Linked DNA regions of Lepisosteus oculatus. The main gene of each other region encodes a partner of the protein of the gene in region 2 in a complex. Links are inferred from orthologs where the notes say so. Each region holds a gene or a part of one and is shown on either strand. Other genes may lie near its edges.

What was found.
Region 1: the proteins of pds5b (region 2) and waplb are in contact, whole or in part, in a crystal structure (PDB 5HDT), measured with the Homo sapiens proteins. The link is inferred for Lepisosteus oculatus from reciprocal best matches to the Homo sapiens genes PDS5B and WAPL. Residues at the interface, in NP_055847.1 of Homo sapiens: Gln47, Phe88, Ala92, Pro93, Ala95, Trp137, Val138, Lys139, Ser140, Asn142, Ile143, Phe145, Glu146, Glu187, Gly188, Asp189; in NP_055860.1 of Homo sapiens: Lys7, Thr8, Tyr9, Ser10, Arg11.

The regions. Positions count from the first base shown.
Region 1 is NC_090699.1:27,849,234-27,858,025, reverse strand, and holds the start of waplb (wings apart-like protein homolog), read right to left. Parts: upstream 4,220-8,792; 5' UTR 4,081-4,219; exon of another isoform or gene 3,862-4,080; intron 859-3,861; 5' UTR 837-858; coding exon 317-836; intron 1-316. Other genes in the region: btbd16 (BTB/POZ domain-containing protein 16), read left to right, coding at 5,612-5,739, 5,870-5,927, 6,251-6,407, 7,972-8,077, 8,635-8,723. UniProt on the Homo sapiens protein: Regulator of sister chromatid cohesion in mitosis which negatively regulates cohesin association with chromatin. Involved in both sister chromatid cohesion during interphase and sister-chromatid resolution during early stages of mitosis.
Region 2 is NC_090700.1:14,802,441-14,811,765, reverse strand, and holds the start of pds5b (sister chromatid cohesion protein PDS5 homolog B), read right to left. Parts: upstream 4,169-9,325; 5' UTR 4,087-4,168; intron 3,659-4,086; exon of another isoform or gene 2,792-3,658; intron 2,775-2,791; exon of another isoform or gene 2,576-2,774; intron 1-2,575. Other genes in the region: uncharacterized protein, read right to left, coding at 7,247-7,364, 8,512-8,588. UniProt on the Homo sapiens protein: Regulator of sister chromatid cohesion in mitosis which may stabilize cohesin complex association with chromatin. May couple sister chromatid cohesion during mitosis to DNA replication.

The DNA.
Region 1 (8,792 bases), on a different chromosome or scaffold from region 2:
CACCCTACTGCAGATAAAAAGCATACTCTGACCTGGGTTTGGAGAAACGAAATCCAGTAAACACATTTGCTTGCCTTTAAAATGATCTACAATAAAGCATTTCCACAGGTCACCTGTAACTTAACTTAGAAAGGTAGTAGCATAAGAATTCTAATCATTACAATTCGGCAAGCTCCCCGGCCATGTTGTTGAAGGCATTACACAGGTTTTGATTAAGAAACATCTGGATGAGATCCCTTGATCAACTTGTTACTAACAACCAAACAACCAAACATGCAGTTACCACACCATGCCATGTGTGTTTCCTTATTCTTACCTGCAGAGGTGCTAATGCCCAAAACTCTGCTGTTGCCATCATCCGGGACCTTGTGTGTGCTCCTGTCCTTCAGCCCCTGGAGATCACGGTCAAAAACTGAAGGTGTGCAACTGGGAGCCACTGCCTCCACAGTGATAGGCTGGCTCACCCTGCTATTGGCCTCCAGCACTGACCCCAGCTTTTCCATCCTTGGGGGCTCTGTGGTGACAGCTGGCACTGGCTGCTTGACTGGAGCAGCCTTGGTCTGGGGAATGCTGCGGGAGGTGACAGGCTTAGAGTCCTCATCACTGTCAAAACCAAAGGGGTCTTCAGAGGTATCATCCTCAGTATGCCTGGCTTTTTTTGGTGCCTCTGTTACCTCAGGCTTGTAGTTGGGCCTCTTGGAGCCCAGCTGTGCCTTGAAGGTGGTTTCTCCCCATTTGGTGCTGAGCGTGGCCCGCTTGTTGGACAGGACTTCATCAAACTTTGAGTTCCCATTCCCTCCCTTCCGACTGTAGGTTTTACCAAATCTTGATGTCATTGTGACTTCTGTTTCATATTCTCTGTGGAAAAAAAAGTAAAAGTCAGCAACTCAAAGTATTTTAGGCTCCTCAATTAATGCATCTTATCATGCTAGAGTCCTTTAAAATGTCAGTTTTAGTAGCATATAAAGAGAATAAAATCTCTTGATTTTCATATTTGAAATTATTTCTAAAAATACCACAGGGATATATTGAGGAATAAATAAATACAATTTGACATGTAATTTAATGCTTACTATGTTAGTTACAGTTTCTTCACTACCACAATAAGAGAATAACCTTTTCTGTAGTTTTCTTGTTGTAGTAGGTATTGAATTTTTAAAAGAAAATGCTGTTTGCCCAATCATTCATCAGTAAAGTATCAATCTGAAGTGGCAAGCCTGTATTTCAAAGCACATTTGCATTGGAACATCCTGCAGTTGCGATCCAAATTCCATAATATTCAGTTTTGCCATGGAAGGGCAAAAACTTACAAATGCAGAGAGAATCTCTCACAGGTAGATGGCTTCAAATAAATGTTAGGTCATCTCTTACAACATTTGTGAGAAACGAGGTGTCACAGCTTAGGTGAAAATTTCCCCAGAAAAAAACAGCACACTAAATTGCCAAAGCATATCACGTAGCTGGTGACCTGGTGACAAATGCACTTCCAATATTGAAATGCTGATCCAAATTCCCACATATTCTCTTCAGGTATCCTATTCAATGTGACATTATAGAAATCGCTACACTATAAATGTTTAAATATTTCACTGTTTATCTTAAAAATACTCCACTGCATTTGGTACCAAAGCACCCTTCTCCATTTTGTTTCCAAACGTAGCAGAGAAGTTAGTTGCGCAATACTGAAAGTTCTATAATACTGGGTACGAATTTTACAGTTAGTTATACTGAATACATGTAATGTTCAAGACTGTACAAGAGAAATGTTTCAGTTTTCCATTGTTATGTCTGGTGTAAGAAAGGAACATTTGATTTTTTTCTTGTAGCCGTTTTATCCGATATATGCAATACTAACGTCGATCACAAAAACCTGCAAGATTACAATTTAGAAAGATTGTTGCATATCAGAAAAGCAAAAAGTAGTAATCCACTTAAGAAAATGTGTCAAACTGGGTAGCAATTCACATTCACAAAACGTTTTAACTTGCATTTAAGGGTGGTATCTATTTATACGGTATTTTTTTTAAGTATAACAATCAGAATAGTACTTTCTACTTTGTCAATAGAAAAATCTCTTTTTCTATCTCACTATCTCACTGCTGCAGCTGACAGTCTTCCCTATCGACGTCTTTGGAATCATGAAACACAAACAAGAGCACAAAAATGGAAACTAAGAGGAAGTGCATTTAAAACTGAAAACCGAAGGTTCTTTTTGTACTAAGAGTTGTGACGTCTGGAACATGCTAGCCCATAACAGTAACGTTTCTGAAGCTGATATAATAGCTTCTCTCCAGAAAGACCTGAAGGTGATACTGAGATCATTAGCTACTACAAGTAGTAGCCTTGTGCTAGACAAGGTGAATTGCACCTTCTTGTTTGTAACCTCTTATATAATTTTTTTAAAAAGGTTTATTTACATGCTTTTAAACACTATACCGTTTTGACACTCTGTATGAAAAACAATATAAAACGCATCTTGATGATGGTTTTCCGTACGTAATACTACTTAAGAAGCGCAACATTGTTTTTGAAAAACTACTAAAATTAGTAACCCTGCTGCTCAAATATTGTACATTACCAAGTATGACATCAAATATCTTATGACCAACAGCATTTAAAATCCGTTCACTTCTAAACAAAGACCAAGCAAACAAAACCAAAACGTCCTGTATACTGAATCAACTCATGTTTTGCTTGTAAAATTAAATCATATACAGTTATATTAAATCACCTTGCCATCCGCTAACTTGGATACAACAGGCAGGATCGATTTTCTTCTCAGTACGCATGCGTGAGCCCGAGCGCATTGTTTTGGGCTGTCAAAGCGTAAAAACGATGCATTTCAAACTAGTACAAATTACAACTTATTTTCTTAAACTAAAGCTGACTGTTCTTAAATTTAACTTACAACAGTCTTGCGACGTGACTGAAGAATCATTCAACCAATGTGGTAACTGGCCGTCAAGCAAACAGCGTTTAATTTTAACATAGCACGCACCGGAACTTTCTCTTCGATTGGCAATAATCAATTTGCGTGAGAGTTTGCGGTAATCGATCCTATTAATGTGGAGACTGAAAGCCGGATATCTGCGTCACCGTGCTTTTCACAGATGTGTACTTGATCACGATCAGTTCGTACTCCTCTCAACTCATGATCCTATAAACTTCATAACGGTAATATACAAAAGAAGCGGTTGTTTTCCATCGGGCCTACAAACCATAAAAGCACTAAAGACTAGCTAAAGTGTTGAAAACGAACGTCACTTACAGGGGTTTTATTTCTACACCGTATTTTTAAGAATCGGTGAAAATATATATTGAGCTTTCTTAGCTTTCGTGTCAACACGGGGAGAAAACACGACTAATGCTGTACTCCCCCATCCTGCCCTGGGTCCATGACAATTCGCCCCAATGTCCCACTTTCGACAACACGACCAACGTCACGGTGTTTTCATTGAACTTGCAGTTCTCGCAGGTCATTGTTCAAGTTATTCGATACGTGAATCGCAATGATCCGCTTTCGAAAGAAATCTTTAAATGCTACCCGAGACATAGATTGAGGCTAGGCTCTTCTCGCTCGCTCCGCGAGGCACGCAGGCCTGACAGCTGCTTATCTCCACACCGTTATTTACACCCCTCCTCAGCCCGCACGGCTGGGCTGAAACTCGCCGAGCTGCCTGCCTGCGCACCAGCCCCCACAGATTCTGGCTTTAACCGCGACCGGGGGCGTCCGCTCGCTAAGGTACTGCCTGGCTGCGTCGCTGCGATCGCACCTGCGTCAAAAAAAAAGGCAACAGCCACCCCCCCGTTTACTCGGAGATCACCAGGCCGTGTTTGGAAACCTCCGGGCCGGCCACTCACCTCACTCACACTCCGAGGCGGCCGCTTCCCTCTGCTCGCACTCGACTGGGCCTCCTGCTCTCTCGGCCCCCTCACACAATATAAACAAGCTGGCAACTACTTCCAGCGGCACCAGCGGCTATCCCTTCGTGTAGTATAGCGAGCCCGGGGTCACCAGGGACGAGCAAAGTTTGTTTTCAAAGTTCTATTGTTGTTATTTTAATTTATCTCAAAACTCGCCTGACTCTTTTCGGCTGCGCCGCTGACTGCCATTCGGGTTCCCCCCTCCCTCTTTCCTTCGCTGCCAAAACCACCGTCACCTCGCAGCGAGCTGCCGTCTGTCCAATCACAAGGCGCAATGCTGCCCTGTGGTGCTTAAACCGCCGTTCTGCGTCCCAGTGAGTGAAGATCTGATTGGCCAACGGCAGAAGGAAACGGTTTAAGATTGAAATCAAAGAGGAGAGAGGGGGAGGGCGAAGCGTCTAGAAGGAGACGTTAATACGTAAATTCAACGGGATGATGGGATCTGTAGTGATCAAAAGCAACATTAGGAGAGCAAAGATTATGTAATACATATTGCTTTGTCCCCTTTATTTACACATCTCAGAAATGCTTTGGGTTTACGTTGTTAACTCCTAGCAGCCTCAATTTTTTACGTTTCAACGTATAGCTGCGCGTACAAATATCAGCCTTGACTGTCCTTTGGATTATATTCATATTTAGATCCGAGTAAAATAAAAATTAGGTCAGTCGATGTTTTTGGTTTTATCAGTGACTTCACACTGGAGACCACCAAGTGCATTAATGGTTATTTCATTTGCAACTGTTCCTCTTCGTTTGAAATTAAGACTGTATTTTAAAAATTCTGACACCCCTTTTAATGCACTATTAAATCTTGAATATATGCGATGAATGAATTAAATGTCTGCATTGAATTATATTTTAAAACCAACCAGTTTGCGAAGCACCGGCGCTAGGCACAGGGAGGCGTTCTGTGGAAAATTGAATTCCCCAGGTCTGCTGTCACGATACAGTGGTATTTACTGCCCTCTTGTGGCGAGGTTTTTGAACAGTTTCCATCTGTACATTTTCTTGGCACCCGAGAAGTAGTTTACTCGCCTTCTTAAAAAATAAATCTATAACCACATTGAAGGCAAACTGCACATCACCCGTGCAACCACGACAGTTATATTAGTTATTGTATTTTGTTGTGTTTTCCATGTTGTATAGAAAAACAAATAAATGAGTATTGAATAGCATTAACTTTTTGAGGTTGATTGGCGATATTGACAAACGATATAGTACGATGCGATATAGTTTTTTTAGAATGTCTACACAATGTTAATTTTCCCATTCACTGCTCTCTTCCGATATCAGTCTGAAACACTACACTTTTTCCACTGCTGTGAAGGACGGATGTTACAAGCAAGTGGTTTTAATCACTGCGGCAATCTGTCTAAAGCAGGTTTCCATAGCCACCGCGTCTCTGTTGTCGTGGGAACGGAGAGGAGCGAGTCCGTGGGGGGGATGACAGTCCAGAACAGAAGAATTCCCGTGTCACGTGCGAAACAATTGCCAGTCTCACGTTGTTCCGAATGACCGCAGCGACGTCGCAAAGTATAGCGTCTTAACTTCCTACCGCCTCCTAGGACACAGCCATCGACACAGTGGTAGTGATTAAACGGGAAGCGGGGTCGTGACTATCACAATCCGCAAAAGCTGAAGAAGCAGGTAAAAAATAGTGCCTCAAGCTTCCCACTGATCTTGGACTATGGCTCAGGTTTTGCCACGGGACGGCAGCGGCACTATTCCTCGGCTCGCTCCAGGTCATCCGCTGCAGAACACCTTCGTGCCCAACCCACCCCCGACACACATGACGCCAGCAGCTGCCTGCATCATGTAAGTGAGACGCCTGGACTGTGCTTTGCAGGTGGGGTGCTGTTCAATGACTCCGATAAAAAGCCGTTCTTTGGGGACTGCAGTTCAGCCTATAATGTCTCGTTATTGTCCTTCTTGTTTCGGCCACCAGATCTCTGCTGCAAGCTCCTTATAAAGCGCTAGAGGACAAACCCTCCGAAGAGGTCAGGGTAAGAGCTCTTTGGTGTTTTCTCTCGGAAAACAAAACAGAGAAGCCCCGAGTAGATCTCTGTGCCAAGGTTTAGACCCAGATGCACCAGCTCAAAGCAGTCTTCTGTGGAAACACAAAACACTCGCAGGGACGGATAGCCGGGGAAACAAAGGACTGGATATTCATACGAACATTTACAGTCCTTTTTGTGTTCTGTTTCGCTTGACAGTGTTTGAAAGGAAGAACAAGGGGGTAATGTAGAGTGAGGAGGAGGATGGTGGTAGCGCTCAGCCGCAGGTTCTGTCACCCAGAACCCCCCCAGTGACTGTGTTTCGCCCCCAGGTGCCCTCCTCTCCGCGCGGCCGCCTGAGGAAGCAGGCCGGCAACACCAACCGCTGGCAGCTGCCCTTCCCGCTGGGCAGCGACCTGCTCGGGCAGGCGCAGGCCGCGCGGGCCGTGCGGGCCACCATCAACGCCACTCTGCGCGGCATCAGGACAGGTGGGCACCGCGCCGAGACGCGCTGGGAGGTCCCCCTGCAGGCCTCCGCACCAGGCCTGGTCGAAATCTCTCAGCCCGCCGGAAGTGTTCCCTGCCCCGGTGCCCTTGTTCCGCGGGGGGTACTGATGCAGGAGCACGGTTAGGGCAAAGCACCGGGAGAGGTGAGGGGAATCTTCCTTACTGCCCTGCGCTCCGACCGGCAGCCCAGAGCACAACGCGGAGCTTCAGAGGGAGTCGATGGTGTGAACCTAGTTTCAGGTTGAGTTTCGCTTCTGTTGTTTTTCTGCTTTGGGAGCCGTGAAACCCTTCTCTGAGAACAGAGGCAGAAATACTGTTTTATACTAATAAAATACTGTTTTTGTTTCTTTTTAATATTGTCGTGCGGAGAGTTTGAATTCAGGGGAAAGGTGTGACGGAGCTCCAGCGCCCCTGACAGCCTGCGGCAGGTCTCTTCACTGTCGCGGCGGTTGTCCGATCACACACCCGGCAGGGTGTTCCCAAGCGCTTTCCCCCTGCCTCGTTTCCCCGTCGTCTCTCTATACCTCGGACGCTGTTTTTTTCCACGTTTTTTTTTTTTACATTTGTTTCTCAAGAAAGAAGAAGACAGACAGATTCCGTCTTAAACCTGCCAACAGAAAACAAGTGGGTGCTCAAAGTCCTAAGAGATAAAAGGGGGAAATGAGGAAGACGTCAGTACTTCAAAAGCTGCTGAATTGATCTTTCTGCGGTGGCACGTTGCAGAAGCTGTCGTCGTGAAGAGAGGGAACAGCAAACCACTCGGGAGTCTTTAAAGTCTCCTGGCAGCCATCCTAGCGCGCACACCAAGAACCTTTAATGCCCCGAAGCAAAGAGCCGGTGTGTACAACTTGTGCCATTTGAAGTCTGCCTGTGCCACACTGTGCCGGCTGCCCTGCAGCCAGTGTCCCTGTGCCAGGAGTCCTGCCTGTCAGGCGGGCTGAGTGCGCGGGCCGGTGCCAGGCACGCCAGCCTGTGTGGGGCTGACGAGGGGAGGGTTGGCGCGCACCTGTAGAGATCTGACAGGAGGCTGCTGCCAGGGGCCATCTGGAGGCTGGCTCTCGCACTCAGGCACCACACGAACGCGCAAACGTCCACCGTCGCTGGAGGGATATGTAAACTAGCGTTCTTGGCAAAAATAGCGCAAGAATCATGAGCGGCGTTAATTTGAATTCCACTCGCGAACACATGCACCTCACCTTTCTGTGGTTTTATTACTGATGAAGGCAAAGATATGCTGTACTCGTTTGCTTTATATGTCTAAAGAACAATTTGTTGGTTTTGTGTTATGCACTCATTGATTTTAAGGGAAATTCCTCCAGTATGTAGATTCTATATCTATGAACGAGCAATGCATTTGAAAATGGTTATTAATTCAAGGACAGTAAATGAGCTGGAGTTTTTTCTTTTTGAGGGCAACAGCAAAAGACTGCCACATTTGAATCTTTCTCTGGAGAAATGCAGCTCGGTGTCAAGGGAACACTCACTGCATGAAACAGGCTCGTCTTTTCCTGACTAAGTCCCGCCCTGCCTCCTGTCTGTCTTTCAGCTGACTCTCCGTTCTGTGAGTGTGAGGAGCCCACCGGCCCTGAGCCCACTCTGCCCCGCCTAGTCCTCTCGCGTGGCACCGCGACACCCACACACCAGACATGCTGGTACAGTGCCCCCCAAAAAACACAAGAAAAAATAAAAACGCTTAACTGTGACTTCGACTTTCTCCCACTTTTGAAATTCCCCCCAAAATACTGTACAGAACGGTGTCTCAGACCATTGGATTATAGAGCTAGTAAGTGGTCCAGGTTGTGATCAGTGTTGAAAATATGGTGAGAGTGACCATTGGGATGTGAAGCAAAAAAATAAAAGCCCTTTATTCCTCATGGTCTTGTAAGGCCAAGGCCTTATATGACGGCAATAATGTGTTTAATCGATTGATGACAGCTTTAATTTGTTTAATCATTTCTGTGTTTAGCAATCCCTTAGGAGAATATTTCCCAAGGGATTGCTAGTGGAGCTTGATGCATGGGTGATTCCTGAAAATTTCTGAAAGCCTGACTGTGACTCTCTTATAATTAACCCTGTCAAATGTGATATATTGCCTTTTTATGATATTTCCACAAGAACAAACGTTCATGATTGTCAGTAATTTACCATGTTTTCCAGTGTGTATGGTGTGAAACTCTTTCGGTTTACCTCTTTATTTACATATATACAGTGTGAGGCTCACAGGGTCACCTGGGCCAGCCACCCCTGAAGACCTCTTCTACCTTTACTCCCGCAGAGTCGCTCACAATACGAGCCCAGGTCAGCCTCTCCCTTCCTTTCCTGTTCAATTGCCTCTGTCTCTTCTGACTTTCTCCCCCTGAATCTCCC
Region 2 (9,325 bases):
CTGTGAGCAAAATATTGTGAATGATATGCAAACATAGAGGTGCAATAACAATTAATATTTTAAAAAATTATATTTTAAATACTAATTTCCTAGTGTTAAAAAAATGCTGCAAAACTACTGTTCAGTAAATTAGCATGCCTTCTTCAAAGATGTTTTAGAAAATTAAGCATATTTTAGAAATACTTTAAAAGCACAGAAACAGTGAATACATAATACAACTTTATCCTCCTTAATGAACTCTCATAGGAAAATACAAAACCATGCTCATATCACAACCTGCTTTGTATATAATGAATTTGAATTGCTCAACAATCATGACTTAAAATGGATTTTTAAAACTTTATTTCAATGCTGCAACCAACTACATGATAAAAATACAGTACAAACCACCAACCGGCAGAGCTTCTTATACAGAAGTGAAGGAATTTTTCGTTTGTGTTGGTGCTCGTTTCCCAAGATTTTGCAGCAAAAGCACACATTGCAAAATGCCATGAAAGCACAGCTCCAAAAAAAGCAGATAATCTGTCTGGGAAATGAATCACTGTGACACCCAGCACTGAATCAGAACTTCCAGACTTCGTTTCTCCTCATCAAGGTGACTTAGACCAGGAACTCTATGGAGATATGTACGAGGAGCGGACGACATTACATTTTTCTTCAATCTGAACACCTACATTTTTCCCCAGCTGCAAATGTGGGCAAGGCAGCAACAAAAAAAGCAATGCTAGAACAGCAAATGATAAAGAATACTTTGTCCAAAAATTACGCACAAACTGCAGCAATCCTAAATTTTATCTACCACTGCAACTATTACACCCCCTGTAACGATAAGGCTATAGGCAGTGGATGAGTTTCCAAAATTCCAAAACTTGAAACCACAGTGACACTATTCCCTTTGGCGCTCAACTCAGAACGAGCAAAAATGCAGCATTCCAATATGTTCTGTTAACGAAAGCTTGATATTATCATGTACCTTTTAAAATCTGACCTCTTTCTTACTACAAAACAACAACAGAATACTGCAGTTATCTGTCCAAGCTGGGAATGACACTGTTTGATTAAAACACTTTAAGCCCTGAAACACTCAGACATAATGCTTCTCTTCTTGGCAATCAGAATTATTAGCAATGTAGGCAGTGAATTTGCTTTTTTTATTCACTGCACAAGTCTCCCCGTACTAACCTGGAAGTGAAAAAGTGCATCGTATTAACCAGAAGTGCTCTATTCCTTCTCAACATAGAGAGCAACTGCAAAATCTATTTCTGTTGCCAGGGCTCACGAGACATGTGCCTGGGTTCACAAAGCAATCTAAAGGTATTTACACATCTGTAGCTACTAGTGTTCAAGATCTGCTGCATTCTTACTTCCCGGATGAGGTAGCTGTTTCACAGTTCAAGACAGCAAAGCACAGCAAGGAGAACAATCATAAGGATGGCCAACTTCAGCCCTTTGTCTGCTGGTCTTTACTACACTTCTGATCTTACTTTCTTAATTCACCTGATGATTCAGCTAAAGGGTCAAGCCATCTGTGACCGGAATACACTGCTTGACACCCGCAGGACGCCAGCCTTTGAGGATAGACGGAAGTAGTGAGACAGTTAACTTACTTCCCGGTCAACACTGAAACATGGACATAGGGTCACACCTGACAACTAAAAATGAAGAGCACTGAGGATGGAAACCAGGAAGAGCATCTTTACACCAAGCGTAGTAAGGGTCTTGAACAAACTATGCAGCTAATATCCAGAAGCTACGCAGGTTTTCAAGAAACAAGCTGAGGTGATTTTTGGATTAACAAATATCAAGCAACCACATAAGCAAGAGTTTCTCAATGGAAACCTCTTGTCGTCGAACAGTTCAACAAAATGGGATCACAACTCAAATTATCCACTTGTACCATTATTAAATTGGCTGATATACACATCCAAAGAGGTAGATTTGTATTCGAGTGGCTGATCATTCAACAGAAGCAACCAGAGTGAATTATCTTACCCAAGGATACAACAGTACTGGCTAACCCAGGACTTTTAACTCAATTTGCTATTATGAGTTGTGAGAACAGGGTACTAACTACGACTGTCGTTTCCCTGGCTGCTATCCTGCAGAAGCCATACAGCTGGTCAATCACAATCCTCGCACACCATTTATGATGATCACCACTTTATACAAAATATATTTCTGAGGGAATTTTTAACACTATTCTCGGGTTCAAAACAGGGATCCTCAGTTTTGGTCCCAGAGGGCTGGTATATGTCTTTGGGGAAAAAAAAACAGTTAAACAGAAGGGAGAAGCTGTCAAACTGGTGCAGTTATGAGCCACTGATGAGCTGGTTCAAGTCCTAACAAGCCCATCTGGACTGAAAACCTGTTAACAACCTATATCACACTTTTGATCAGGAAACAAGACAAACTGGTGGACACCGACAAAAGCTATTACTTTGTCTTTCATAGACGAAGCGCCTTGATGGACCCCCTAAGCTTTTAAACAAAATATCAACGTGCAAACTAACGTTAAAAAGCCAAACAACAAGAGCTTAGGGGTTTAACTTCGAGAAAATGTAGACGTTACTGTTACCTCCACGTTTCAAGTGGCGAATCCGGAATCCCCCCCTCCGACACCGGCAAAGGAGAAGACAGGTCAAAGCAGAATACACGGAGCAACGCCTTGCAAAGCCAAACACCACATAGAGCAACAGCCTTCGTTCGGATAAAAACAAAACCTTTACGGTTGGTCACTCTGTCGAGTCGAGCATAAGGTCGGCGGATTGTACACGGCGGTGAGAAAAGACACCTGAACACCGCGCTCTGGCGTCGCAGGAACGGCAGGCTACACTCCCGCTTCACCGGGTCGCCACGCAGAGCTCCCGCACCGCACCGACTTCACTTGTGGGGTCGTGCTCTCGAAAGGCGCAAAACACCGTCCCAGCGGAAATACGGAGGGGTGGGCGCCTTTCATCTGCCGAAAAACGACCCCCCCAAAAAAAAGAACGGTGCAGCGAGCGAGGTGACACAAATGCAACCCCGTCGCGTTACGTAATCTCCCCGGAGCCCGGCTTGGTTTCGAGAGAGGGGCTGGCGGTCGCGTTTCAAAACAAAGTTTTGGCGAGCTCTCCCGCACCACCCCGCCCCCAGCCTGTGCTACACGGACCGCCAAAACCACGCAAATTCCCTCCCTGCGTGCGAGACGCGTGGACCTTTCCGGGAGCGGGGGGGGCACTGCGTTCCAAAAGACGGGACAACCCGTCGCGTATTTCCACCCGATGAAAGCAATCGCCGTCCAGCCCAATCGTGTAGCTTCACGGGCACCAACAACGTGTGTAGCAGCAGGCAGCCGTGGCAGCCGATGGCTTCCCGGAGACCTACCGGACCGTCACAATGCCAAGATTAACCCAAACAACTGATCATATTTTCACACGGCCGTGCCGCTGCTGCTGCTTCTTGGTTTGGGGGGGCTGGGGGGGATTTGAGTTTTTCTTTTGCCACACCGCTAAATCCAGGGACTCGGTCAATGAAGACAAAAAAAAAACCCAAAACAAAACATGCACCAGCTTATCATCAACCGGATTCCGGTCGAAATCAAACTACCGCGAAACGCGCCACCGTGAAAACCGGGTCTTGAGGAGATTGTTATTGCCAGTGTTCAGTGCGACTGAAGCAGGCAAGCGCTAATTAAGGAAAACACACTGTCGTGGTACGGACACCTCTCACCAGGCCAGCTCTCATACACACGAGCACCGTCAAAACCGCAATACAATCACACGTTCAGGGAGAAATATACATGTCAAAGAGCATGCACGGAGCCCACATATGAAGTCCCGTCCTAAATGCAAAAACTATGTTTGCGAAATAAACATATTTCACATTTAGAGGCGGGGGGGAGGTGAACCCGTGGAGTCTCTTTCTCTTCCCCGGTGCTGCAAGCACCATACAGGCAGGAAAAGCGGACAGCAGCCGCCAGACAACAAACGCTTCTTTTAACAGTCTTTCACGCACTATTCTTTGCACTTCTAAGCACCCCTGCGTGACCATTGTTGTTATACACCTTTTGATTTGAAATTTGCAGCATTTGGTGTTAATTAATCCTACCTAGTTTGATGAATAACAGCCAATCGTGTCTTCTTGCAGCTCTGATCCTCCTCCTGGCTTCAAAATGGCGCCAATTTGTCTCCGGCTGCACCAATCGAGCCACCGAGAACAGACAGTCGCGGAGGCACAGCGCCACCTAGGGGAAGATGTCCAACAGAGCGCAGCCCCAAGTTCTTTCACAGACCCACAGCGCCGCCTGCAAGACTCTCTCCTTTTGCAGTGAGATAAATATTCCGTCCCTCTCACTTGACACACACCTTGCACATAAATTAATTCCAATTTCAGTGAAGGTTTTCACCTCGGGTTACACAGTGACTACTCCAGCATCTTCCAGACACAAAATGAAATTCACACCGTGTGTAGTTGCGTATTGTCACATTAATCAATCTTGCACAATTGTTTCATTTTGACCTGCAGCTCTGTATAACGTATTTTATGATGAAGAGTCACACTTCACATAATGATCATATACTTACATTTTATGTCTAAATTGGGGGGGCTTACTGACAGGTATTTCTTGGAAAGGTGTTCATCACGATAGGCTAAAAATCCCATTGGTTAAATGTTTTGCTTTAATCGTCTTTCAATGTATGCAACCATTACGTGTTGTTCTTTTCCATACATAGTGCATTCGTAGTATTTAAGAAATTCTGTTTTAAAAATACTTTCATTAAATCTATGTTGTTCAGACCTGTGATGATTCAGAATACTGAACTACTTGATAACAGAGTGCATTTATCCCAGTACCTTTATTAATACCCTTCTGGCCGATTTGCTCCATTCCATTATCTCTTTGCTTGTTATTTATTACAAATGGTTTAGCCCTCGTTCACAACCAGTACTTGTTAATTAACTGGATTTGACTTAAGTGCCTAAATGACTAAATAAGAAGCAGAAGTGCCATATAGTAATGGTTAAAAATACATTCATTTTTTTGTAAAATTGTTAAATTCACCTTTGAATGGCGTTTAATTCATTGTTTTATTCAGCTATATGTGTTTTGTATTAAAAAAAACAGACATGGAAACAATAATTATTCTTGACTGGCAGCAAGAATGCGTGGCTCAGAGCAGGAAAGCAGAGGTCCCAAATTGGTCCGATCTGTGAAGTCGGAAAATATTCATCAATGTATTCGTAATATATTGCATGCAAAAAAATCTATTAGGATTCTCAAAAGCGAAAAGGCTGTGTTCATTTTAAAATATAAACTTTAATGTCAATGCGTTTTTAAAAAGTGATTTAACAAACCTTTGAAAGCCTGGGACTATTTCATGTCATTGCTCCTGTTTTAAAACATTGGTTTGTATTGGCTCTTAATTTGCAGGAACCTCTTCAACCTTTTCTTTAGGACACAGGCAGCCTTTACTTCCTGTGCTCTGCTTTCCAACTTTCTCCTGGATTCATGTGGCAGTAAACTGCCTTTGATGCATCTGAATAGATTTAGGTTTGCTTCGGTTTTGACCGGCGGTTTAAATATTATTACGTTCGAAAATAAATCCCTGGACAAAACAAGAAAAACGTATAAAATATTTGCCTTCAAGAAAGTTCAAAAATGTCGTCTCATGTCATTTGTCAAAGCCGCTTTATACCATACGGTGTCGGGGGAAGCCGGAGCCTACCCGGCAAGGAACGAGCGCAAGGCAGGGTACACCCTGGACAGGACACCAGTCCATCGCAGGGCAACTTCAAGCCAATCATACAGGGGGACAATTTGGAGGCCACGGTAAAGGCCGAGGGGGGGAATTTGGCCCCGACACCGGGATAACTCCCTACTCTTAACGAGAAATGCTCGGGGATCTTTAATGACCACTGAGAATCAGGACCTCGGTTTAACGTCTCGCCCGAAAGACGCAGTGCAAGAATGTACTTGTGAAAATGTTACAAAATTATTTGTTTTTATCCGAGGAACAGAATGACTCTGGAATCAGAATCATACATTAAAATAACGTGATGTATTTATGTAAATTGGTAAAATACTTAAATACTTAAAACTTTTAAAACAGTGTGAGCTACTGTACTTCCATTCATTAATAAAAATCTTTTTTATTTCTTTTAGGGTTTATTATGCCACTGACTGCAATAAACAGGTTTTCAGAAAGGCTTACTTGAGAGTCTGTCTTCACCATTTTCTAATGACCATGTTTCTAGTTCAGCACTTCTAACTTCCTGTGTTTCTAATATGTGTTCACTTTGTAAATTGCTGTCTTTATAACTTTTGTTTTACACCTAGTGCACAGCTCTTTGACATGCTACGTTTATAGGAAGTACATAAAAATGTTTATTATTATGTTACTGTGCAATAAACATTACTTAAACATTTCAGAAACACAAAACAAACAACAAAACTCCAAGTATTAATGGTGTATTTAATCTTAGAATTCTTGAAATTACTGTATTTTAAAATAATTTATCAAAAGAATTGATCATTTTTTTTAGTAGGACTTTATTTAACAGTAACAAACTGGTCAAAATATTCCAAGAGTACAAAAATGCAATATAAAACATGAATAAATGGGTTAATACTGGTAGCTCCTGCAGACTAAAAACAGTTGAAAAATATATAACCTAAAAGGAAAAATCAATGTATTGGAATGAGAAAAGTCTTTCACATAATACTGAAATTAACCAAATGGTTCCACATTAGAAGGTTCTTTTATATCACAGCTGTAATAAATAATAAAAAAAATAATTTTTTAAAATAATTAGAATTTCCAATGGTAGATCTGACATATTGAAACAGGCAACAACTCAGAACAGGACAGTATCTCAAGTTTAGTTTACACCTGTTAGCCTTCCAGTCTACTACAAAAAATAAAATCTACCAAACTGTTTTCTATGCATCAGATTTGTAATGCCTAAGAATTCTAGTGAAACTTATTTCAAGAACATCAGAAATCAGATTATCTTCTATGTTTTTTGTTTGTGTAAAAGAACAAAACTTTACCTGCATAATTAAAACTCCCTTTCATTTCCACACTTAAAACCCATTGCAAATACTGCAAATACTCAAAGTTGTTATATTTAACATAATCTGAAGAAAGAAATATTCAAAATTGTACTTTTCTGTGCCGATGTATTAAAAACATCCAGCATCTAACACATTAGCCAGAGGACAGCGTGGCAAAGCCTTGCTGCTATACTGAAGGTTTTTAATCGGATTTCAATCCTGACATTTCCAGGGCTCCTCGGAATTCAGCACTTGCCATTGTGATCTGACCATTTTGAACTTCTCCACCATGTTCCCTATGACCCTTTCTGGCACTCTGCAGCCGGATCTTCTGTTTCAATGAAAAATTGAAATGCTTCACAAAACCAGCATGATTTCCAAGTATCCTGGCATACCCACTGCCTCTCACGTGCACAAACACAAATGCATTGAAGCTGGAGTGCAGAAGATGGATAATGTTCAACACAAAGACATATCTGATTCCGTTCAAGGCTTTCTAAGTCAACGATACGTGCAGTTGACCTACATAAGCAACATTAAACCAGGAAATAAGACAGCATGACCCTCAGGCCTGACTTTGATAACCTGGCAGCAATGACTATCTCTGTAGTGGATGGCTTTTGTACCAAGAGTGATTCTGAAGAAAAGCAGCACACTTGTACAAACACGGAAAGAGCTTATACGAAAGCAATACTGGTACTGGAAATTCCGGTGTTTCATCAATTTTAGCAAAATAAGAGACTGTTCATTACTGTGATTGGTTGCTGAGTAACTATGAATTGGATGGAAGGAGCAGAATGTTCCTGGTACTGGGACAGGAGACTTCTAAGGAAAATGAGGTTGTTGCTCTAACTGGTGTAGGTGGCACTCTTGGATGAGAACGTCCAAACGAATGCACCAGAATGGCGACTAGGGACACAGCTTGAGTAGATGCTGTCTTTCAGACAAGCCAGAAATCTTGGCTACATGTTCCCATTAAGGATCCCATGACAAGCAGGGGTGTTAGCCTTAATATTCTGACTGCATCCCAATTAAAGTTTGTTCAATCTGGCCTAACTACATCTCCTCCTTTAATTCACTTGACCTGCTGTGTAGTGGGACAGCTGGCGCATAATGGGTGCTGCAATATAGGAGGGATAAATGGCCCCCCTTCTGCATGCAAAGCATTTTAGGATATCTTGGACTTCATTAATATTAATTATATCTATAATTAATTATAATATATCTATAACCACCTACAACAGTCAAGCCACTCAGAAGCCCCACATGTTATGTTAAAGAAGGCCAGTGTAAATTGCCAATCAATGCAAGAAATGTTTAGAAAGATTAGGTTTTCTGCATTATGAATCACTCAAGTGAACAGCATCAAATTCATATGATTCAAAATCAAAATAGAAAGCCATATCAGCTTTCTTTATTTTAGATCTGGAGCCTCTTAAATTAGGTAAATTAGAAGATAATTTGTGCAGTTAATCTACCTGTACAATTCCGAAGCATCCTGCTCACTGTTGCCTTCCGGTTCTTTAAAAATGACTTTATAATAATACTGAAGAGCCTGAAAGAAAATATCAATAAGAAATAATCAGCAACACAGCTTCTTCTGTATTTTAAGTCGTAACATTTAGATTAAACACAAATAAAATGAACCAAATAGATCACACTAAGTAATGCCATTAACCACAACTGAAATAAAACAAGAATTGTTTATAATTCAAGACAACTTTCATAACAAGATCAAACATTATGAATCAGAAAAGGCACAACTACAACAAAGCATCGAATAACTGGTGATCATCAGTGTAACTAAACAAAACAAAACAGAATACAGATTGGTATGCTTTGCTCAATTAAAATAAATTAAAACAATTTACAACACACAACAAACAATACAAATCTGGCGGTGTTAATTAGAGGACTGAAAATAAAACAACAACAACACACCCTACACAGTACTGGGTGTCTAAAATAGAATAATCCTAAATTATCCTGAAGTTGAAGCATGCCCCCACACCAGTGGAGTACACAGAAGAGGTGGAGCCCTTCAACACTGATCCATCAGAGACTGTCTAACATGGGCTCACCACTGGGAACACAAGGTCAAGACTAATTCAAGAACAAAGCGTGAGCACCCAGCAAAATCCATCCTTGAAAGAGGCTTCACACCTCAGCCACAACTGCTATAATAACAGCCAATAATGTCTGGGATTCAAAGTGGTAGTGCCAACTGAATAATTTTTCAATATTGGGTCAACCTGATGGTCCAACTCTGTAAGGTCATCTGCCCAAAAAATT